3 linked regions of the Coturnix japonica genome follow. The protein of the gene in region 1 interacts with the protein of each later gene in a pairwise test. Links are inferred from orthologs where the notes say so. Each region holds a gene or a part of one and is shown in the gene's direction. Other genes may lie near its edges. The genes, in order: KLC1, MAPK8IP3 and BNIP2.

What was found.
Region 2: the proteins of KLC1 (region 1) and MAPK8IP3 interact in binary tests that used the Homo sapiens proteins (3 or more experiments, as listed by UniProt). The link is inferred for Coturnix japonica from reciprocal best matches to the Homo sapiens genes KLC1 and MAPK8IP3.
Region 3: the proteins of KLC1 (region 1) and BNIP2 interact in binary tests that used the Homo sapiens proteins (3 or more experiments, as listed by UniProt). The two-hybrid records come from large-scale screens. The link is inferred for Coturnix japonica from reciprocal best matches to the Homo sapiens genes KLC1 and BNIP2.

What each region holds. Positions count from the first base shown.
Region 1 is NC_029520.1:45,861,155-45,869,372, forward strand, and holds the start of KLC1 (kinesin light chain 1), read left to right. Parts: upstream 1-3,149; 5' UTR 3,150-3,398; intron 3,399-8,218. UniProt on the Homo sapiens protein: Kinesin is a microtubule-associated force-producing protein that may play a role in organelle transport. The light chain may function in coupling of cargo to the heavy chain or in the modulation of its ATPase activity.
Region 2 is NC_029529.1:12,375,020-12,382,472, forward strand, and holds part of MAPK8IP3 (C-Jun-amino-terminal kinase-interacting protein 3), read left to right. Parts: intron 1-1,072; 5' UTR 1,073-1,084; intron 1,085-4,363; 5' UTR 4,364-4,365; coding exon 4,366-4,421; intron 4,422-5,046; coding exon 5,047-5,199; intron 5,200-6,764; coding exon 6,765-6,819; intron 6,820-7,453.
Region 3 is NC_029525.1:4,455,808-4,463,769, forward strand, and holds the start of BNIP2 (BCL2/adenovirus E1B 19 kDa protein-interacting protein 2), read left to right. Parts: upstream 1-2,684; 5' UTR 2,685-2,808; exon of another isoform or gene 2,809-2,822; intron 2,823-6,443; 5' UTR 6,444-6,581; intron 6,582-7,057; 5' UTR 7,058-7,138; coding exon 7,139-7,188; intron 7,189-7,856; coding exon 7,857-7,924; intron 7,925-7,962.

The sequences.
Region 1 (8,218 bases):
GTGATGATATGAAAAGAAGTCTGGGTAGCAAAATGTTAATGTCCTCGGCAAGCATCCTGCTCTCTTTAAAACAAAACCTAGAAGAAATTAACTACTGAAATGGCCTGTTAGAGCTGGATTACACCACACGCTTTGTTTCCTTGTTATTTCACTCTGGATAGAGAATGACGGGGGGAAACATGCTGGCTTTCATTTGTTACAGCTTCCCATTAATCCTTGTGACTGAAAAAGGAGAATTCGCTTCCATGTAAATTAAGCTTATTGACTTTGGAAGCAGGATTGTGATCAGTGTTTATTTTACTTAGTACTTTAATGCCATGCCCAACAGTGGGTTTCCTATGGCACGTTCAGGCATCTTGACCATGACAATGAGTCATGTCGAACAAAATACAGTCCTTTTATTCCCAAGTGCCTGAACTCCATGCTAACAAGGTAGCTCTGCATGCAGTAATTTGCAGATCTGTACAAAGGAGCTAGACTAATGCTGTCTGCAACTGAGCACTTGACACTTTTGGTCTTAAGCCCTGATTTTTATGTTTCCTGTTCTTCATAAAGGACATTCTTGTAGGAAATATAATATAAAACATATGCAACTGTCAAGTGATAGTGATGAAAAGCCAGACAGGTTGCTGAATCTGGCCTTTCAGTATTTGTTATTACCAGGATGCTTTTAAACAGCACTTTAGCAGCAACTGAAATTATTCCAGTGGAATGCTTTATGGTAGCCCATATTTATAGAATGAAGTCATAGATTTTAAAGACTGTAAGTTTAGACTTAAAAACTGTTGTCTCTTTTGGCAGAAAGAGCAGGAGGATATAATGACATTGGTAAAATAAAGTGAGCTACACTTCATAAATGAAGTGAACCTGAACTTCTTTGCAGAGGCTTGCTCTAATTGTGGATGTCAGTCAAATTGAATCATGATTTGCTGTGTGTATTTCTCACACTTGCACCTCAAAATGTAAGAGCTTTTTCTGCTGCATGAGCTGAACTGTTTGATTTGCCCCCTCCCAATGCAAATTCCTAACTATTTTATGGGAGAGGAGGAAAATGGGTATGTTGAGAATAAAGAATTCAGCGTTATAAATAACATATTTGGGGGTTTTACTTTAATACCCACTTGGATGACTGCAGAAAACCACAGTGACCTTGTTGGACAAAGAATATTTTAGAGGCAGTATGTCTAGGTCACTTCATCCTAAAAACAGGGCACACAGTGTAACTAGTTCTCTAGGACAAGATGGAAATGTGGGCAGCAAACAGCTTTTCTACTGGAAGAATGCAGTTAGCTTATGGAGAATGGACAAGAAAAGCAAGATCCAGCTGGGGAGAACTGACGTTTTGGGTCAAGAAAAAGCTTGAGGAAGAAGCAAATCTCTTGTGTCTGCTTCTCCTCCACTGTGTGCCATAACCAGAGGTAAGCAATACTGCACATTAGTTCCATTGCAATAAGCAGCCTTGCTACACGACACAGCTTGTAGTGTGTGCTGCTTGTGTGGGAAACTGCAAGCATGCATATACATCATTAGGCAGCGTATTATGAATCAGGGTCAAAGCTGGAGTAGGTGCTTTGTTCAAGAGATACTCATTTCCCTGGGGTGAGCAGCTAATTGCAGGAAATCTTTGAAAGCAAATGTGTGATAGGAAGAAAGCAATGAATATTGTTTATTCAAAAGATAGGAGGGGTTCCTTTGAATCTGTTCTCTTGCATAATCATGTAATTAGGGCAAGTTCTATTTTTAATTAAATCTCTTGCATATTCATGAAAATTCTCTGAACTTGTGGACCAGCTGACATAACTCTTCATTTTAAAAACGTGTATAAAGGAATGGTTATTCATTTTTTGCCCTTTCTTATTACTTTCAGACACCTACTTCCCACCATTACACTCAGTTGGCCAGGCCACTGCCCAGACTTCCCTGTCAATACTACAGTGCCCTTTTCCAACCCCACAGGGACTCTCTGCTTGTGCATTCTGCAGCCCCATTTGTTTTGCTGGGCTTCTCTAACTACAGCACCAGTTGTGACTCCTTCTTCCATCTCCGCTTTAGAGTCCTGCCATTCTGTAGAGCCCATTGATGTTTTCTTTGAGGACAAACAGATGTCAGCACAGCTTTCCTTGTGTCTCTCAGAATTCACCACGTAGGTGAGGCCGCACACTCTGATTCACCGCTACATCTCCATATTTCTATAAGCTTATGATTCATATCTATATGTAATATGTACTGCAGGAGCTGCGCGGCGTTCAGATGATAATGCACCATAGTATTGTCTAGACATTAATAACACTTTATAGTTAGGCTGTCATCATTCCCCGATGACTCCCTACACGCATAGCAGTGCACTGTCATATTTAACTGTATTTTTCATCCTAGAACTCCCGTTTCTTCCACCATCATCACAGAATCACACAGAATCACAGAATGACCCGGATTGGAAGGGACCTCAAGGATCATGTAGTTCCAATCCCCCTGCCTGGCAGGGCCACCAAACATACACCTTTACTAGATCAGGTTGCTCAGGAGACCCCATAGATCCCCACAGAGACCCCATAGATCCCCATAGATCCCCCATAGATCAGGTTGCCCAGGGCCCCGTCCAACCTGGCCTTGAACACCTCCAAGGACGGGGCATCCACAACCTCCCTGGGCAGCCTGTTCCAGGGCCTAACCACTCTTCTAGTAAAGAACTTCCCCCTAACATCCAACCTAAATCTTCCCTCTTTTAACTTAAAACCATTTCCCCTAGTCCTGCTATTATCAGCCCTTTCCAAGAGTTCACTCCCCTCCTGGGAGTAAGTTCCCTTCAGGTACTGAAAGGCTGCAATGAGGTCACCCCGCAACCTTCTCTTCTCCAGGCTGAACAAACCCAACTCCCTCAGCCTGTCCTCATAGGGGAGGTGCTCCAGCCCCCTGAACATGTACCCAGTGGAGCACAGAGAAAACGGCCACCATTGTACTTTATGAAATGAAACGTGAAGCTACAAAGACACATTTCCTGCTCTCCCGCCGCAGGCCGGCAGCCATGACATCATACAGGGAGGGGAAGCGGCGGGAAAGGAGGGCGCGCGTGGGCTGCTGGGAGAGGGGAGGGCGGCCGCCATGTTGGGCGGGGCGGGCCGGGCGGAGCGCCGGGCGGGGCCGGGCGGGGCGCGGCGGTAGCGGCCGGGGCGGCGGCTGCGTGCAGCTGTCAGCGCCCGCTCCTCGGGGGCCGGGTCGGGCCCGTCGGCTCCTTACAGGTAAAGCCGAAGACACGGCGGTGCCCGCTGTCTTCCTTTCATCGAAATCCTTTTCCTTCCTTCCGCCCGTCGCTGACATCCTCCTCCGGCCTCCCCGGGCTGCGCGGCCCCCGCCGGCTCAGCGAGCGCTGCGCACATCCGAGCCTGCAGCACCGAGCGGTGAGCGGGGCACGGCGGGGCGGGGAGGGTCGGGGCTTTTCGGTTCCATCTTCGCCTTCCTCCTCCATCCCGGTTCTCAGACAACAAAAGGCTGCTCCCCGCTGACAGCTCCGCCGGTCGCGCTTTGTCCCCCCCGCGGGGCTGCGGCCGGCACCGCCCAGGGGGAGAGCGGGCCGGGCTGAGGGCAAGGCGTGAAATGGTGGAACGGAGGGAGGAAGAATGAAGGGAGGAAGGCGGGGACGGCGCTGATCGTGACCGAGCGGTGCAGGTCACCGTGATATGCCCCCTTCGGCATCCTTGTCTACAGTGAGGTAAATGGTGAGGGGAGAAATAACGCCGGTGCCTGACCGACCTCACTGGTACTGTCCTTTGGGCAGAGGTGAATTAGGAAGGTGCTTTATCCTTCTGGCTTGCTGCTGTTTTGGGTAGAGAGATGTCAGGTTGGTACAGCCGCACAGCGCTTGTGCGTAAGCACCGCGCCTCCTCCCTGTGTGCTGAGCTGAGCTGAGCTGAGAGAAGCCCGTTGTGATGGCCAGGGCAGCAGCACCCAGATGGACACACACTGCTGGGAGCCTGCTCCATCCATCAGGTGCTTCTGCGCTTTGTTTTTTTTATCCCCCATTAAAGATTTCCTTTGTTATATCCTCCGTCCTCATTGTAACAGCAGCATTCGAGTACAGAATCAGAAAGCAAAAGGAGCTGGGGGGGGGGGGGGGGAGGAAAAAAAGTGAAAGTTTGTTCTTATGCTCCACTTTAAACAGCAGAACGATGTCATTGGTAATAGAAGTTATTTTTTAGAGTCTTACATAAAAACGCCTGGGACGATGATACTTAAAATGTTCTTTTCGTGTTGCAAATGGCAGAAGGTTTGGTAACAATTAGTCTGGGAAGTAATTGTCTGTTTCACTTCCCCTTTTGTGTTTGTACTTCTCTGAAATAGGAAACATGCCCAAAGGGTGTGCATTGGAAAGCTGGAAAGGAACCTTCGAGATTTACACAGCATTTCAATATACAAAAATCAAATGAAATCAAATATCAGATCAAATCCAAACCTTCTTGAATTTGGGATTGATTTCAAACCGCTCTGGGAAATGACATGATTTTAATTGATTCTGAATTCCAAAGCTTCAGCGAAACGTGATAGAGGATATTATAACCCCGGGATTATAGAGACAATTGAAAGAAACACATTCAGCGTTTAGTGGAAGCAGAGAGGAAACTGATCTCTGTGCTGGTTCGGAGCAGGCCTCATGTTTTGAAAGGTGTTGCTGTGATTTAATTTTCTTTGTGGTTTAAGACAATATTTTTGTGACATATCCATGGATGTAGAAAACTCCAGTTCCAATTAGGTAAGAACTTAATGCCGAACCAGGTGGCAAAGTGCAGGGAACTGAAATGGTGAGTTCCCGAAGTCACACAACAATGCGGTATCACTTCTGCATCGTGTTGCAGTGAAGTTTGGCAGCATTTCTGTTCCTGATGGGTGGTGATGGAAGTGGGCACCTCCATTAATCTCACATTCTGACAGCAGTGTAAGTCTGGGCTCCGTTCATTTTCGAATCAAAGAAAACACGCTATTGTAAGTAATTTTAAAAGAAAATAAAGTTGTCCCCTGAATGTATATTATAAAGTTGCTTTGTTTGCTGCTCACTGCATTATTGGGATGTACCAACGATGCCTTATGAATGGAAACTAATCTTAAAAAGCCTTTGCTCAACAAAAGAATAGTGCACAGAATAGTGAATGAAATTTGTGGCAGTCTACTAAATGTTTTGACATACAATAATCAAAATGCTGTTCGAGGGAGGCGTAAGGGGTATAAAAGCAATTGCTGCTTGCTCTGTTGATGAAGAACGTACCATAACGAAGTCAGAAAGCCCTCACTTGTGTGCTACCCATAGGCTGTGTACATTTAAACACAGGGAGAGATCAGCGTATCTACGTGTGCATAAAGACATACCTACCTATGTCCCTTAATTAGGAGCCTGGGGAAATGCTGAACCCTCATGCTCTGTGCTGAGTCCACATAATGCAGCTTCTGTTTCTCTTGAGACATGTGGGCTGTGCAGATACTCTTTCATTTCTTACTCTGCTCGGTATCTCTGGAAGACGTGTAAGTAGATTTATGCTGGTATTAGCAGCTTCTTTCCAGATGCTTAGCTCATAATTATTTTAAGACTCAATGAAGTGTACAAATAACTTTTAAAGTACTGTTATTCTGTGATTCTGTTTTCATAAAGGGAGTGAAAAAATGAGTATGGGTACATTCATGACGATTCAATATGTATTTTTGCATTTAATGTTGAACCGTGTGGTAGCAAACAAAGATGAAGGTGAGAGTTTATTTAAAGGAACCTTTTGCTGTCCGTGTGCCTCAGGGTACAGTTCAGCATGACACATCTGCCATAAAGCTGGGATCTGACCAATTCCATCATCATTGCAATAGAAGTGGCTACATAGAAGCGTTTATTGTAGCATAATCTGCATAATATTTTATACTTTCAAAGTATTTTTTCATCTATGAAAACACAGTATTTACCTTGACCAAAGTTTAGGGAAAAAACACATATTTCTTTTAGATGTTAACTGTTGTTTTCCTTAAGACAAAATCATTGGGCATGCAGTGTATGATGTATATACTTCCTGGTAGCCAAGTACTAGTGGAAGGCAAACGGCTTATTTTAAAAGAAGTATTTTGGCCTCAAAATAGAGGCAGTTATATCCTGAGTCATGCTCAGCTTGAGGTAGTGAGGCTCTCCCGGTCGTTTCTTTAGTGGAACGTTTTCTGTCTAATAGCAGGTTGTAGAAATAAATGTGGTTCCTTTGAAAGAATACTTACCCAGTCACCACAGTCAATAAACACCAGACCAGGAAGCTTGAACTCATGCTGAGATGCATTTGTTGCTTTGACTTAAGGGATTTGAGCCGGGCACTTTGTAAGAGGGCAAGAGCCAGAATTACAGGTCCTTTCAGTGATGTAGGAATCATTTCCACAGGGTTGTGTTTGAGGTGCTTTGACAGATAACGCTGGGCTTGTTTTGGAAAATGTTTTTTGTAGCAGACAGTTAATATAATGCGTAATGACAGGCCGTGGCAGATAGGCAGGCATGAGCACCTAAATATATTTGGGTGCATGAACAAAGAACTGGTGTTCAAAGGACAAACACTGAAGCACAGTTGATGCTTATTTTCTTCATACAATATAAAATTAGCATATCTAATCTCTGACACTGGATAGTTTCTTCAGATTGAGTCAGCTAAGAAGGCAGATGCAAGTAATAGTATCTGTCTGTTGATTTAATCATGGTTTGATTCTCTGAATCCAGCTTATCTCCCTTGGGTTCTGCTGTTCAGCTCTTTTCAGTGCCCTCAGAAGCAATCTTTACCCTGAAAGCTGCTTTGACCTGCAGGTGGAATTAAATCAAATTTATTTTTTTCAGATAATTATTATTGCTCTTTTTTTCCTTCCTGGTTTCTTTTCTCTCTCTAAATTAGGAGTCATGTCATCTTCTATTCTGCGTATGCTTTCCCCATGTTTTCTACTTAAACACAGATTTTTTTTTGCATGGTTTCTCAGTATCGTGTCTTAATCACAGTAAAAAGAACCAAACTAATAGATCTTAGTCAAATTACCTTAAAACTGAGCGTTTTCCTATTTTGATTCTTAATAAATATCTGCTATAAAACCCATTAATCATTTTAAGTTGGTGTTTCAGTGCTTCCATCAGAGCCATAGCTGACTTTATTATATTCCAAAGTGAATGGAGTAAAGGATGTAACCAGTCTGGTCAGTTATACAGCTTCCTTATAGCTGGGTAGGGTGGGGTGGTGGCTCACTACAACCTAATCACTCTGTGAGCATAACCCTGTATTTATTTGCACGCACCCCAGAAAACCATTAGAAAAGTTAACGATGCACTAATTAACATTGAGAAGGTTGAGAAGTGTCAGATGTTTTTTTCTTTCTGACATATATTATTTTCTGACAGTTAATATCTGCTTTGCTTACAATATATTTTGTGTATATCCCAGGAATCAAAGTTGTATCTAAAAATCAGTCCGTTTAAATGACAATACTTACCACGTCAGAATGATCAGATAACAGGCTGTATATCAGGATATCGTAGTTCTGGGTATTTTGTATACATAGGCTCTATTTTGTACACATATACTGATTAACTCTTCTTTGCATCCTGTGCTGCCATCCCTCTTAGCAGTACATTACTGCTAATGTTCATGGAGTTCTAATACTGTGCTTTACCTACAAGTAGGTAAATACTAACAAAATATGAAGGGCACTTGCAGCCTGATGGGAGAAGGAGGTGTGTTTTATGTTGGGGGGGAGGAGGGGAGGGTCCCCTTTTCTTCTTTCCTGCATAGCATATTGTGTTTAAGATGGAGTGTTTCTGTGGATGTTCTTTATCAGTGTCTCGCTGTATCATGTTGGAAAGCCACAGCTGTATCCTCTGGCTTGTGCAGCTTCCTTCAGAGAGGCAGCTGTTACTCCTTTGTCACTCAACTCTGTTGGCTTTAACATGTCATTTGTTCACGTTGTTAAATCAGATGCGTCCCCCAAGTGTTTTGAGAGAGAAGCAGCATTATTTGCTCACGGCGCAGTGTGTAGGTGGATTAGTGCAGGTGGTGGGATGGTAAGGAGAGGTTGCGGCAGGAGATGGGGAGGCAGCAGCCTCATAAACTTGTTCTGATGACAGAAACGTAGTACATAAGCATCTAAGGATATAGCTGAGAGTTTTTTGAGTCTCAGGGCTGGTTTATGTAGAACCACGCTCCTGCTGTTTGTTCTATATCCTCATTCTGTT
Region 2 (7,453 bases), on another chromosome or scaffold:
TAGAGCTTTTCTTGGAAGTTTGCAAGAAAAAAACCCTTTTGTTAAGATTTCTTTAAGTTTAAGGGGAACAATTGTCGTTCTCGTATGGAAACATCATAGATTTCACTGCAGTTTTTACCTTCTTAGTCATCCAAGAGAGTTTTGCATTCTCCTTTTAGGCTGATATTGAAGGAGCTTCTTGTATCTGAAGTCTGATTATGTTCTATGTTCCCAATGAGGACTTTGAAGCAGTCAGAGAAGCAGCTTTGTGTCAGGTAGCAGTCTGATAAAGCTGTGAAAGTGTAGCAGTCCCAGCTGCTTGTGGGTTGTTCCCCCTTTCTCTCATATCTCCTTTCCTGGTCTTCATTATCCCTTTACTCTGGACATAGGGTAGGACTAACAGTTGGGTAATGGGCCCTGCGAAGTCCTTTTTTTCAGTGTTAGGGTGGCCTCCTGTGTTTGCTTTGGAGATTAAAATCTACTTCATTAATGGGTGTTTTATGGTGAAAACAGCAGTTGTTACGTTAGTGGTAAGTTCATGTATATAAATGATGTTTTTCTATACAGAAGTTTAAATGAAATTATCAGACTGAGCCCTGGCGCTGCTGTTGGAAAAAAAAAATGTTGTAAAATGCAGCTGTCCTTTGCATGCTGAAATGTGGCTGAAGTGCACGTTTAATTTCAGCAGATCTGTCTGCTAACAGGAGAATGATCACAAAGGGAGGGGAACAAGAAGGCAGTGGAAACTGGCCGTTCTGCGCTTAGTGCTGTGTGACTGAGAAAAGAAAGGTTTATCCAGGCTGAGATGCGACTGTCTGAGACTCGTGTCTGGAAGGCTGGGGGTGGCTGAGGCGTGTGGCTGCAGTTCTAACAGGGGTTCCCTCTCCTTGGTTTTTTTGTCCTGTATGTAGAGTCGTGGCAGTTCCCGTCCTTACTATTTCATGCCTTTTGACACTGAAATGGCTGAATCATTGTTAATTCTTTTTTTTTTGAAACAAAATTTTAGTTTTGTTGGTTTCAGTCACTGATCGATCCTTTTTTTCACTTCCTTTTTTCCCTTGTCTCTCTGTGCTTCGCTGGACATGGCCCATAGGGGAGTTCTCAGGTGTGTATCTCTGCTCTGCTCAGTTTCCTTTCTTGTTTGTTTTTACCTCGTTGAGACTCAATGATATGGTATACACGTGTGATACTCCCCTGCTCTTGTCCAATCACGGTTGGCTTTGCTGACTTTCTCCCACCTTTGCCTTGCTTGGTTCCTTGCACTGGCGGGTTCCTGGGCAGGAGGCTATTCCTGCTTGGTGTTCACGTGTCTGCTGTGTTTTGATCCGCTTTTTGTGTAGCTTTCTGCAGGTTTTGACACTGGCCCGTCTCAAGGTCTTGAGAAAACCACGCTGTGCCTTTCCTTTGCTTTGGGGTGCAAAGTGCCTCGTTTTAGGGCAGGCGCTGTGCTCTGCGCTGAGCTCAGCTGAGCACAGGATTTACATAGTTCACTCCTGTTCTTCAAGTAAACAAGACTGTGAGGAGTCCCTCTGCTTGCATGATGCTCACTATGAGTTTCTTAATGCATCCTGACCCACAGCTGCAGTGAAAAGAAAGACTTTTCTGTAGGGAAGAGAGTGGCAGAACCACAGGCCTTTTTTTGTTTGTTTTGTCTTTTCAGTAGGAGTTTGAAGTGCCGCCTCTGTTGCCTTTTGTCCCATACGAAGGTCAGCAGGCCTAAATTGCAGAATTTTCACCTCTCTGTAAAATGCATTTGGGTACTGATAAAAAAAATAATTAGATGAAATCAAGGAAATCGCTGTTGATTTCAGTGCAAACTGGATGAAGTTTCACCTGTAATAAGGACAGGCGACTTGGGCTGATACGGTACAAAATCTGTGGCATAATTGTGCAGTGCTGAGCTCTGTCACATTCCTCTGCACGGAACCTCCTGATGTTGGGTCTGTAAGGTCACAAAAGGGAGGAAGGAACGGCATCATCTTCTCTCTTAGTTCAGATTGTTTGGGCTGTCACTGTAGGCCATTTTTGGGTGGTCTTTTCTCAGAGACTCCCCCTCTGAAGTGGCACTGGAATTTATCTCAGTAGCAAAGTGGATTTGGATCTGTGCAGGGAAGGCCAGATAACAGCTCTGATATCCCTCCCGTTTTGTTTTTTCTCCTGCCCTTCCTTCACCCTGTTCATCATGTCTGTTGACTTGCCATTGTGGTGGGGTTGGAATGCACAGAGATATTTAGTCCAGGGTAAGTGATGAAGGTGGAAGAAAAAGATGAACTCGTCTTCAGCTTGTCCTGAACTCTCAGGCATAAATCCCTACCAGGCCAGGCTGCAGCTGAACAAGGTGTATGTTAGTTTATGCTGAGCATCACCTATACTGGCACCACATGCGTTTACACATGCTGATGAGCTGCTCTGTTTGCTATTTACAGATTGGTACTTAATGGCTGCTTTTTTCTCTTCCTTTTTCCCCCTTTGTCCCCCTATCTTTCTGTTCCCTTTCTCGTGTGGGATGGCTCTCATAGTACGGGATGATTTCTTTGGTAAGGCCAAGGCCTTTTTTCTTTTTTTCTTTCTTTTTTTTCCTCTTTTAACCACGCTTCTTTTTTTCTTTTACAATTTCTTCCATTCACTCAATATCCCCTCCATGTGTCTTGCATTACATTGGTTTGTGGGTTTATGTTTTGCTTTTCCTTTTTGTGATGGTGGTCTCACCTCTCCAAGAAGCAGGATGCAGCTGGTCCACAGTTGTGATTTGGGGATTTTCCTTCCCTTGATTATCCACTTTGATGCTTCATACTATTTGCCTGGCTGTGGGAGGTGCACAGTGATGTGTGGCTCTCTCCTTTGTCCCACACCGTAAGGAGTAAAGAATTTTCCTTTTAGTCACTTTTTTTCTATCTCCATGAGTGGGGCTTTGTCATTACAGCTTGTGTGAGATTATCTCATAGTGTCTCACTCTATGGCTGCAGGATGGCGTCATCCATTTCTTCATTGCAAGACCGGCCCTTCAGACCTCCCACTGGTTAAAGCATCAGGCTGGGGCTGGGTCACACACTAATTAGGTAGTTCTGGGGTAACAACTGACCCTCTGTACCAGAGTTCCTTTCTCTCCCAGAGGCAGACTCACCTTACTCAGGGATGAGAAGGAAAACTGTTATTGACCGTCCCACCGCCAACAAAAAAACCAAGCACGAGGATGCCAGCACTCACAGTGTCTTTTTTAATATCATCTTAGTGCCATTTTAATGCCTCACTTGTTAAATATTTATTTGATCATTTGTAGAATCATCCGAAAGGAACCAGAGAAATATTTAATAAACACGTGTCTGTATTGTGTGACCTCTGGATTTTAGAAACAGTGCATGTGCTGTGGGAGAAAAGGGTTATAGCTCATCCTTACCCAGCCAGAAGTACACTTTGGTTTTTGTTTGCAGTATTCCTTGACACACTGAGAAACCTGCCTGAAACATCAAAGTGATTGATTCTCTTTCTACCGATTGAAAAAGGAACCAAAGAACAACTTGAAATGCTGCTTCTTATTCCTTCCTGCTGGGAATTTGCTTTTGCCATCATAACTTCATGCCATCTAACTGTGGGAAGAGGATTTGTTTTGTTGGAGTGTTGTGATACGTTCTCACTTCTTGTATGCTGTCATGTTTCTCTAACTTCCATTAACTTACAGTTTATTTTGGTTTTATTTCATTGTGAATATTAATCAGCAAATAACAATTGTGGAAAATATTGATGCCTTTGCTGTAAAGGGATAAGGTAGTTCAGAGGGCAGGATGAGGAACACTACAGCACAAACACTGATGGTTGTGATGCCTTTTTGTGCCCCGGGGCTTGTATTGAGAAGCAAGCTGCAGCACTCAGCACTGTCCCTTAAAACAACAGGTAGCCTCTGTATCTATGTGTAAAATAGAAGCAGATCCTGGGATCCTGCAGGTCCCCGGCAGCAGGGAGCGCTCCACTTGTGGTTTTGGTCCTAAATTCCTTTCAGTTCGTTTTTACTAAATTCAGTCTCTACACTTAGCTCCAAATCTTACAGAGTTTTGCAGCCTGACCTGTGTGCTGCAGCCTCTCCTCTGTGCATTCTTGCCCAATGTGCAGTATGTCTGATCTGCTCTTTTGGGAGTGGTCCTTAAGTCATGGGCCTGAGACTTCAAACTGTGAATCCCTGTGAGAGAACTGCTCAAGGTGAATAGTCGAGCATTGGACGATCTGAAGTCCTTTTCATATTGCCACAGTGGAAGGCTGGTAATAGGAAGCCTTTAAAGTGGATGAAGCTGGCTGTAGGGAAGCCTAACAAAAATGATTTCTCTTTCCCAAGCATGAGTCAGATGAAACAGATGAAAACTGCTTGACCTTTTTTTTTTGTTTTTTTCAGGAATGGGCAAAGAAGTTGGCAATCTGCTGTTGGAGAACTCACAGCTACTGGAGACCAAGTAAGAAACTGTTGTGTGCCTGGTTATATAAGTGAGGTACCATCACAAAGAAGGTTGTGGCTAGAACTCCAGCCTCACTGTGGCTTTCTGGTGTATCTGGCAGGCTCTCTTGAACACTTGTTATGCTTTGAAATGTAGATGAGAAAATCCTCTCCTGAGCAATTTTCCTAATGGAACTGGGTGTGATGGGAAGGTGCTCATTTTAAAGATTTTAAGATACTTTGGAACTGATTGGAAATACCGAATTATGTCACCACCATCTCCAGTTGTCAGCAACTACAAATAATACAGATTCTGAGAGGTTCAGAGTACAGGTTCTTATGTTTCAGTTCTTAATCCTCTTAAAATAGGTTTTCATTTTGTACAGCTGTCAGGTTGCCTTGAAGCACCTGAGGTTGGTCTGTCAGTCGGAATGCAGAACTGCACAGACCTTGTTGTGACCAGCTGTGTTCTGCCATAGCTCTTCATTGTCAAGATGTGCTTTTTCATGACTTATAGCCTGACTTATTTCAGTGTGCTCATTTCAACTCTCCTTGTAGTGCCTGTGAGTTTAGTTTCAGGTCTCTCTTATGGACAGCTTATGGTTTGGGCCATTTTTGCTTATTGTGCCTTTCACACCTTTAAGAAATGCTTTGAACGTTGTGAAGAATGATCTGATTGCCAAGGTGGACCAGTTGTCTGGAGAACAAGAAGTGCTGAAGGGAGAGCTTGAGGCAACGAAGCAAGCCAAAGCCAAAATGGAAACCAGAGTCAAGGAGCTGGAGGAAGAGCTGAAAAGGTGAGTGATTTCAATGCTGTGTCAGGGAGCTGGGAGAACCTGAGTGATGAACTCACAGCCTCAGAGAGAAACCTGTGCCGGTCAGCTTTTCTGCACTTCATTCATGGACATTAATGTTGGAGTTCAGAGGTAGCTTTCGGGGCTGATAGTACATGGCTGAGATATTTCTGGTGTTCTTAAATTGTTTTTCTTAGTCTGAAATGAACTATTGAACCTTAGAAAACCTACAGAATTTTCCTCCCTAATATTCAGGTTCCATCACAATGATTGCAAATCTGGGCTGCCCAGAGTGAAGCTTTCAGCATTTCAGTTCGTACTTAAAAACAAACAAATAACGAAGGAATTTCTGAAACAGTGGTTTTGAAGAAAACTGTCAGCAGATTGATGCTGTTGGTGGCCGAGATCATGCAGAGAGGCATGAATGCCCATTCATTTAATGAAAGGATGAGTGCAGCTCCTCACAAACAGCATTTAGATGTCAGTATTGTTAATTGTCTTGTTGTTCACATTAAGAACAAGAAAAGGGAGAAGAGAGTGTGGAGCTCCTTGCGGGTGGCATTTGGGCAAATCCCATTTCTTATTTTCCACTCAAAATAGAGAAACCTGAACCTGAATGCCTACAAAGCCTGGGAATTTTTCTCTTCCATAAAGCTACGCAGGCCCCATTGGTCTCCAGGCTGCATAACTGCATTTTAAGTAGCTGTACCAGCTGTGCTGTGGCACTCACATTCAGAGGGGGGTGTTTGTTTTGCATCCTGAATCTGGAAGGTTGCCTCCATTCTTTTGAAATTGCTGAGCACAGTCTCTAACCACAACACAGTCGGGTTCCTTCAGTGTTTGCAGTGTCTGAAGTGAAGGGATCTCATGAGCCAGTGGAAGTAGACCTGATTTTTTATTTTTTTTTAATTGTCTTTTTGAGTCTCTTAGAATGTTATGTAATACATAAATATGCAGCATGGATGAGGACTTTCAACTGTCCAGGGTGCTTTACTAGGAGATAAAGATGGCATTTTTTTTCCTTGCTCATAGAAGTACATGTGATTCGAATGGGACTGACCCTCGGTACAAGGCTTAAGTAAACTAAAAGCATTCAGATAAATCCTTTTAAATTTGTATTTACATGTATTTGGGGTTCATTTCTTTGCTGTGATGGCAAACTGCCCTTCATATATTAAAGGCTTTTTTACTGCATTGGAAAGAGAGACAGCCCAGAAGAACTTCAGCCAGCAGTAGTTGCTGATAATGGCTCAATTTTTATGTGGTTAAGATCTTGACAAACATCTGAATAGAAATTGTGGCTCTGAAGCAGATCTGTCCCAGTGGTCTGTATTTTGGGGCCTGGTGCTTAAATTATGTGTTCCAAAGGGAGGGGATGATGTCAGAAACATGCTGCAAGAGTGAGGAAGAGTAGCGCAGAAGCACCTCATAATTGGTTTGTGTCACTTGCAGATGGAAAATGGTTTCTTTCTGATGCAACCAGATCTCCCCCAGAGTCCCCTCATGCTCCCCCCAGCTGCAGTCACAGTATCAGCTGCTGGTTTGATGCTTTTCTTCCTGTTTCCTAGAGTGAAATCTGAAGCGATTGTTGCCCGACGAGAACCCAAAGAAGAGGTGGAGGATGTAAGCAGCTATCTCTGTACAGAATTGGTATATTACATTACTAAAATGCCTGTGGGGAAAGGGGGTTTATATACTTAGTCTGTAATACTTGATATAAGGTTCTTGAGATGCAGACCGATCTGTCTTCCGTAGAGTCACCAAGGTTGGAAAAGACCTCCAAGATCACCCAGTCCATCCGCCCACCTACCACCACCATTTCCCCACTGAACCACGTCCCTTAGTGCAACATCTAAATGTTTCTTGAGCATTTCTTTGGTAATGATGAAAGCAAAGCTGGTAGATTGCATGTTGCTGTCATGCAATTACCTTTGCATATAACTTGCAAACTGTAGTTTGGCAAAGACCAGCAGCTGACAGAGGGACAATGCAGTCAGTGTGGTTTTAAAACCCCAGTGTTAGAGTGGTGCCCAGCTCAGCGCCTTTCCATTTTTCCTGGTTTTCCTCAGTTTTGAATGCCAGGCAGCGTAGTGTGAGGTGTGCTCTCTCACAGGACATAGTGGCACTCAGGCTTCCCCAGAAGAGCTAGTTTCATGTTGGCAGTGCAGCTGTAAACCAAGAGGACTTTGTGCAGTGAAATTCAGGTTTTACAGCCACAACTGCCTTCTTTTCACTGTTCTGTCAGCTCCAATCTTGC
Region 3 (7,962 bases), on another chromosome or scaffold:
GCTAAATTACAAACACAGAATGTTCACCTAGACCCAGTTTCTGTCCTGGCTGCTAATCAACAAGGAACTTGCTCAGATATAGGAAAGGGCAAATCAGCCGACGTGGGAGGTGCAATTCTGACTATGAAGAATGAGTCCTGTACAGCACAGTGGGTTCTACCTGAAGTAGCTGAAAGAGGTTTGGGATACACTGTATTGGGGTATAGAAGGACCATGAAGAGGACAGGATCACTTTCTGCTCAGTATTTTACCCCATGATATACCGAGAGGATTAAACTACCACAACTAGCTGGCTGTGATAACAGATTACAGTTGTATACGTGGCTTTAAACACGATGATGATGCACCCTACAGGAATACCAAAAGAATATCAGAATACTGTATGCTATTTTGTTCCTGTCCACAAACTTGGGAATCATCACTAAATAATATGTTGCTCTTGTAATTGTGTAGCACAGGAGCCTAAGACAAAAGTGAAAAAGGCTGGAGAAAAAATGCTTGTATGCTTTACAGGGAAATGGCTGGGAGGAGCGACGAGCAGATGCAGGTGCTGTGTCCAAACTCACAGACACAGAATTTCAAACAAATAGTTTCAAATCCCAACATTCCTGATTGCTTGAACCCGTTGAAAGATGGTATTTGTCACCTAGGGGTTGTTGTTTATTTTGGAATTAATAGATGATGTTTTGCTTAATAAGCAAAATAGGAAAGAACCATGAAAATGTGAATGTTTCTGCATTGTGTAGTTTTAGATTATTATTATTTTCTTTTGATGGGTTAATTGTGAATTATTTCAGACCTGAAGTTATGCAGCAGTTGATTTTTCCCACATACAGGACAAAATTAACATGACAGAGTGTTATTCTTAGAAGCCTGCTCTCTTTGGTAAAGCTTTCATGTGAGAATCTGCTTATATTTGCAGTTGTCTGATGTTTGGAAACAGAATTATTCAACACCTCCAAGTAGTTCTCTCTGACCCCTTGTTTGCTTGTTTTCTAGGTTACCCAGGAGCACCAGAAAGATTTCCAGCCACCTTGTGCCACCCCGTGTAAGAAATGGGAAATTGCACAGCTCTGCTCACCATGGTGACCTGGGTAGTGGTCCTGCAGATGGCAATGGGTGCAACGTGAAGGCAGTTCTGAGTTTATCAGCAACCAAATGGTATTTAGAAAAGCTAAAACACTATTTTTAATGAAACATATATATATAAATATATATATTTCTTAAAATGTGAACTTTAAACCTTTTGATGTAACACGTAATAGTAGCCCTTTTTATCTTGCAGGTCTGATGGAGGATAAGGAAGGTTGCCACACACCCCCTCCATCATAAGTCCAGCTGTTCACAAACACTGCACCAGCAGACGGAGATCCCTATCCACTCAATCCTAAATAGCTCAGCATATCAAATACCTGTACACAGATTGTACAGAACTCCTGTAATCAGATCTGCACTATTAAAAACCGGGATCCTACGGGCATGAGGTGTCTGTTCCAAGGTGCGTACAGCAGTAATGGTAAGTTTGGTGTGCAGCCAGGAAAATGCCATGTCCTGAAGCACTGAATAGTGCTGTTTCATCACCTTCTGTGGCTGTTACCTCCACAAACAAATAAATGGTGACAATGGAGGTGGGAGAATAAAATACTGTTTTCCTTTTGCTGTTCCCACTTCCTGTTTTATTGTGTTTCTCATGCCAGCAGCCTCATACTTCTTTATATTTAAGCTGGCTCCTGCTTTGTGTTTATTACCTGATAAGCCGATTTTGCAGTAACGCCTACAGGCTGTTTGCTGTGAATTATACTAATTCCTTATAAATATTCTAATAAATTTACCTTAATTGCTTTATTTCCCGTTATCCTTAGATATCATCTTTGTTGGGGGGGGGGGGGGGGGGAAGGTAGGGGGTGAATGTCTCTACCATCTATTCTTCTTTAGCAATATATTCTCATACAGTATTTTTCTCCATTCATTAAATCACTTATTTATTCTTCCCACCCTTCTTCTGCACGTGTCTCACGTTCCAGCTGTACCTGGGCTCAAACATTGGTGCATCGTTGCCTTGTGGACAACCTTTGTGCTGTGAGGAGCAGCAATTCAGGTTGGTCTCTGCCTGACTGCAGTCATGTGAGTGGCAGCAGTTGTGTGCAGTGGAGTTTGCTGGCACACACACAGATATGTGTGTTCATGTTCCAGCAGAACCACTGTTGCAGAGATCAGCTTGTGATGAAAATATGAAGTTTGCCCCTTAGCTTCATGAATTTTGTGCATTCAAACACTGTGTTCCTGCTGTTCCAAAGCACTGTGTCCCAGCGGGGTGGATCACAGGGCTGTTCTCAGGCGGCACTCTGCACCTCAGGCATCTCCATCTCCTCATGGTGACATCTCCATCTCCTTCTGGTGACATCTCCATCTCCTCAACTGCTGTCTTTACCGCTGCCAAAGGATGGTGAACTCGGCTTTGTGTGCACTCCACCTGTACATGTAAGTTCGGTGGCGCTGCCAGGCATTTGCCGGAGCTTCGTGCCCCTCTTGGTCCGTTCCGACCCGCCTCATTCCGTCACTCTGTGGAGAGCTTCGCACCTCCAACGCTCTTTCACGCGCGAGCATCAAGTGCGCATGCGCAGCCACAGGAGGGAGTTGCGCGGAGCTGCTTTGACGCATGCGCACGAGCGCTCCAATCCTTGCGGGGCGCGGCGGTCACATGAGGTGGGCGGTGTGCGCGCTTCCGGGACTGCGCGGAGTGGCGGGTCGGGCAGGGCGGCACAGCGCAGCGGTTCGGCCGCCGTCAGCTCCGAACTGACCCGCAGTGTGAGTGCGGCCAGGTACCGCACGGGGGGGGTCGGGGAGGGGGTGGCGAGTCGGGATGTTGAGCTGTGGGAGGCGGCGTGGGGCCGCGGCTGAGCACAGGCGGGGTCAGGTCAGCACCGTGGGCCTCGCCGGGAGCGCTGCGTTGTGGGGCGCGGCTCCTCCAGCTGAGGAGCGGGATGGTGATGGGCGCGTGTTTCCTGTATTGGGGGGCGGCTGCTGTGGTGCCTGGGCAGGAATAGGGCTGTGCTGAGCATTGTAACAGTGACACGGTGCGGAGCTGTTGGAGTCGGGCCTCTGAGTTGGCTTGTTCCTTACATTCGGCTGTCAGTGCGCCGTACTGCGCAGTGTCCGATCGGTTTGGTTAAGTTTGCAGCCTTTCAATACCTGAAGGGAAGTTACACCCAGGAGGGGAGTAAACTCTTCGTAAGGGCTGACAATAGCAGGACTAGGGGAAATGGTTTTAAGTTAAAAGAGGGAAGATTTAGGTTGGATGTTAGGGGGAAGTTCTTCACTAGGAGAGTGGTTAGGCCCTGGAACAGGCTGCCCAGGGAGGTTGTGGATGCCCCGTCCTTGGAGGTGTTCAAGGCCAGGTTGGACGGGGCCCTGGGTAACCTGATCTAGTAAAGGTGTATGTTTGGTGGCCCTGCCAGGCAGGGGGGTTGGAACTACATGATCCTTGAGGTCCCTTCCAACCCGGGTCATTCTGTGATTCTGTGAAGTCGGTTCTCAGCAAGTAATGCTGCTTGCTGTTCGATCGGGTGTAAGTGCTGTTGGTGTGTCTGACAGTTCAGCTCATTGCCCTGCGAGGCCAGAATCCTGCGTTCCTACACTGCTCTGAGTGCTCGGGGCATGAGCCTGCAGCTCTCCTGCTTTACCGAGTGATTTCTGTGTGCTTGCTGCGGAAAGGCAGACGAGCCGTGCTATTAGCAGAGCCCTGTGCCTGCCTCCTTGTGCTGACTTGCAGGTGACGTGACTGGGATGTCTGTCCTTGTGTATCTTGGGAAATGTTTTTCAGGCTTGCAGTGAGCGTGGCTTTGTTCTCAAAGCCAGTGGGGTTATGGAAATAGTTAGAAATTACAGGGAGCTTTGCAATATGAATCCGTGTGCAAGGAAATTATATATATGTATTCTTCTGGCGTGCTTTGAAATTAAAAACTGCTCTTGGAGGCACCTCTTTAATGCCCGGCATGTGGGATTCCATTTGATCTTTCTCATGAAATGGTGAAGGGGAAACATAGGAAAACAGCAGCATAACATTTTTTAGCTCTCTGGGACTGCAGCATTGTGTGTGCTGCTGTGTGTGTCGGGGCGCAGCTCAGCACTGTGCTCCTCACTACAGGTGTCTTGCAGCATAAACTCTATTCGTTCTACTACAAATGCTGTAACCCTCATGTCCTTATCGGGGACCCAATATGACGGGCCTTTGTAATGGATATATAGATGTGGTCAGGCAAATTCTTATCTCCTGTTGGTGTTCTGTGGAGAATTCAAAGGTGAAAGGAAACGTGTAAAAAATAATAATAATAAGGCCACTCAAATGTGCAACAGGCCTTTTTCAAAGGTAAATTTTATGCATTCTGTTGTCTTTTTTTCTTTAAGTGTCAGAACACTTTAGAGTACACACATAACTGTAAACCACACCAAACAATGGCAGTTCATGGTCTTCTCAACCATGCTGTATGTGTACCATACATGTACCCAGACCAAGCCCGCTCTGTGTTGGTGAGAACTGAGCACCTGCTCTTTCCAGGAAAAGGATGAGAACACCCATGTTAAGCTTGTGGTGCAAGCAGTAACACACCTCAGCTAAGTATTTACATGGGTTTAACCTGCGGGTCTGCACTGAGGTCCTTTCATTAGCTGTAGCAGCGAAGTGATTGCAGTGATGTGGTGCCTTGTGTTAGTTCTGTGCTGTTTGTAGTGCTCTGACTTCCTTAGGAGTGTAACAGCAGTGAAGCCCAGGGTTTGCATGAAGAGAGCAGAACCACGTGGCAGTCCTGCAGCTGGGTGTTCTCCGTGTGACCTGATGTATCTCCCAGTCTTCTCATTCCATTTCTGTACATTACATGGAGAGAAACAGCAAGCAGATCTGCTGTTCTGAGAAGCTGTGAGTTGTCTGCGAGGAGTGCGAGTGCCAGTCAGAAATTAATTGCTTCTCTTCTATGTGACTAGTAAAGACTTGCATTATTAGTGTTATACTTTCAAGTTTAACATTTACATGTTTCATTTACAGTTGATTTTAAAAGACTTGGGTGAAGTAAAAAAGAAAAGCCACTGCTGCCACAGCAGCCATAGGAAAACAGTTCTAAACTCTGCTTTAGCTTGTATGAACAGATGAACTTCATTCGTACTTTGTAAGCACAGGTATTATGATACAGGGTCATTCGTTAACTATCCAGGAACTCTGCACTTCTCTGACTTCCCTGAAATTGAAGATTACTTTGCTCAGCATTCATCGTGTGTGGTGATAAAGCTGTTAGGGCAGAATTCAGCCTCGGAGTCTTGGGGGAACAGGAATGTGAACACAGTGCGGGCATACATAAAAGTGGTGCCTTAAAGCCAGCCATGCCATGACTGTGTTGGTTTTTGTCTTTCCTTCTGCTGTCATCTTTCTTCCTTTTATAATCTGCCCTTAAGAGTGGAATAACCAGTTGAGATTTCCTTTTAGGTTTATTCTGTTTTTAGGGAGCTGTGTCTTTGCATCAGATGGTTCATTCCATACTGACTGTAAATGCCATGTTTTCTTCATTTGACCACGTGGGATATCTTGTGCTTCATCTCAGTGTCCCAAAACAAATGTAACAGAGTGCTATGTACAAATTAATTGTTCCTGCTGATCAAAATAGGACTTCATCCCCAAGCAAATTCTTTCAATTCATTATTGCAAACACTCAGCAGGTCAGAACGCAGGAAGAGCTTCATACCAAGGGTGTCAACATCGTAATGAGAGAGGGCGTGTTTTGTGAGGAAGGTGGTATGATTCAAGCAGCAAGAAAACATTCCAGACAACGCATTAGTCAAAATGGACAGATAGGAAGAGGGAGCATTGGGAGGACCCTGACTGGGGACACCTTCTTGGAGGTTGTATGGGCACGTATTGCCCACGGCTGAGCTGGTGGGGGCTGAACAACTCAAAGAAGGAAAGGCTTCTGCTAAGGGGGATCAGATTGCTACCTTCTGGAAGTTTTAGTTTTGTTTCCTGGGTGTGGGAGGAAGGAAAGGTCAGTAAAATAAAGCAGTAATGACAAATTCAAGCCTAATTGTTTCTGGTAATGCAGTTTTAACAATGAAAAACTTTTAAATTTTTACATTATGCAGCTTGTTTAGCATAGCCTTAGCACTGCAGGTCTTTTGAGAATCTGTCTGTGGTTATTATTGGATCTGGAGAAGAGAAAGTGACATTTTCCACAGTAGTTGCTTCTACTGAACAGTAAGCATGGCTTGTTTCTTTTTATCCATGTAAGAGTAAACTATCTCTCTAGCTTAATTAGTAGTGTGATTGTATTCCAACATTGTACTTACTGGGTTTTACCTTAATTGCTTCTTTGCATTTAAAAATACGATTCAATTTCCTGTTTTGATTAGTACTGCTTTTCCTATCGTTGATAAGTTTACCTGTTTCTGTCAATCTTAAGAGCCAACACAGCCAGGATTTTCAACTGGATTGGATTTGGATGTTAGCAGAATGGTTTATTATGTTCTGTTGTTGGCAATTCCCTGTTGCTGGTGATGGGTGAGCCTGAAAAAACGCAGCTCTGCTTGCACATCTCAGGGTAAGTTTTCTTTCTTTTTATTGGAGTCTTTATTGTTTGTTTAAGAACTGAGTTGTATTTTAGACCTGACCATCTGGTTTGGTGTTTTCCCCAGAATATACCTTTATTCAGTATCTCTCATATAATTTAAAGGTTTTGTTTTTTCATACACCGTGGAGTGAACTGGTGTAATCCCAAATGAAAGGTCAGGTTACTCTGAGCTTTGGTTATAACCTAAAGATTGAGCAGAGTGTTGGATTAGATGATTTGAAGAAACCCCTTTGAACCTAAATTATTATGCCAGTTTTGTTATTATAAGCAGCTTATTATAAATAGTTTTGCATTTGGAAAAAAAAAAAAAAAGTGGGGATGGGGTGGGGTTGGAGGGGATGAATTGGCAACTGTTCCCTGTTTTTTCCACACAATATCTCAGCTTGGTGGTAAGTGATGGGATGCAGTGTTGTAATACTGAACTGTATCTTTTTATGTTCCTCTAGCTGCTCATTAGCCTGCTGTCCAGAAGACGAGAGGTTCTGGCTGATCAGGAGTAACTATTAACAGTTCAAGTTGGCTGGAGAATGGAAGGTGTTGAGTTTAAGGAAGAATGGCAAGATGAAGATTTTCCAAGGTTTTAAACTTTTTGTAAATAAAAATCAAATACAGAACATCCAAAATAAGCTGTCCCTATTTTCCTGATAAGCTAGTACTTGATCTTGCAGTGATTTCCACTGACATAGTGACCTTGAGAGGCTTTTGTGCCTTGTTTCTTTGTGTCCTGGAAGGCGATAGCTTTATGTTGATTTGTAATAGAAGATTGCCCGTACTGAAATTACTGATGTTACCAAAATGAAAGTGTAAGTTCAGCCTTGTTTTCTTCAGGTGTTAAAGGAACTTTTTGAGACTGTTTGCTTATTATCACCAATGACTGAGGGCCTGAATACTTCAATAAGCAATGTTTCTGACAAGTTTTAGCATTTAAGAGTTCTGTGATGCTCAGACCTACAAAGAAATTAAAAAAAGCTGACTTGAGAGGTGTTCTATAACAAAATGAATACTGCTTCTGTGATGTATTTCATGTTATACTTTATTAAGCAAGAATACAGTAAGTTTTCCTAAAGGTCATACCAGTAGCAACCAGTACTTTGATATTTCATAATTTGAATGCTATAAGGGAAATTGTGCTGCGTTGTTGCTTTACTGCCAGCTTGAATTTAGATTGCATGTGTATTTGGATCAATACAACTCACAATGTGGTTTTTAGCAGAAACTACTATTAAAAACTATTTTGTGTATCAGGCCCCTGCCAGAGGATGATCCTGTTGACTCAGATGTATTGGCTGCAGCTGGAACAGAAGGTGAAACTGGTAAGAACATTTCAGTGCAGTCAGGCTGATGGTTCCCT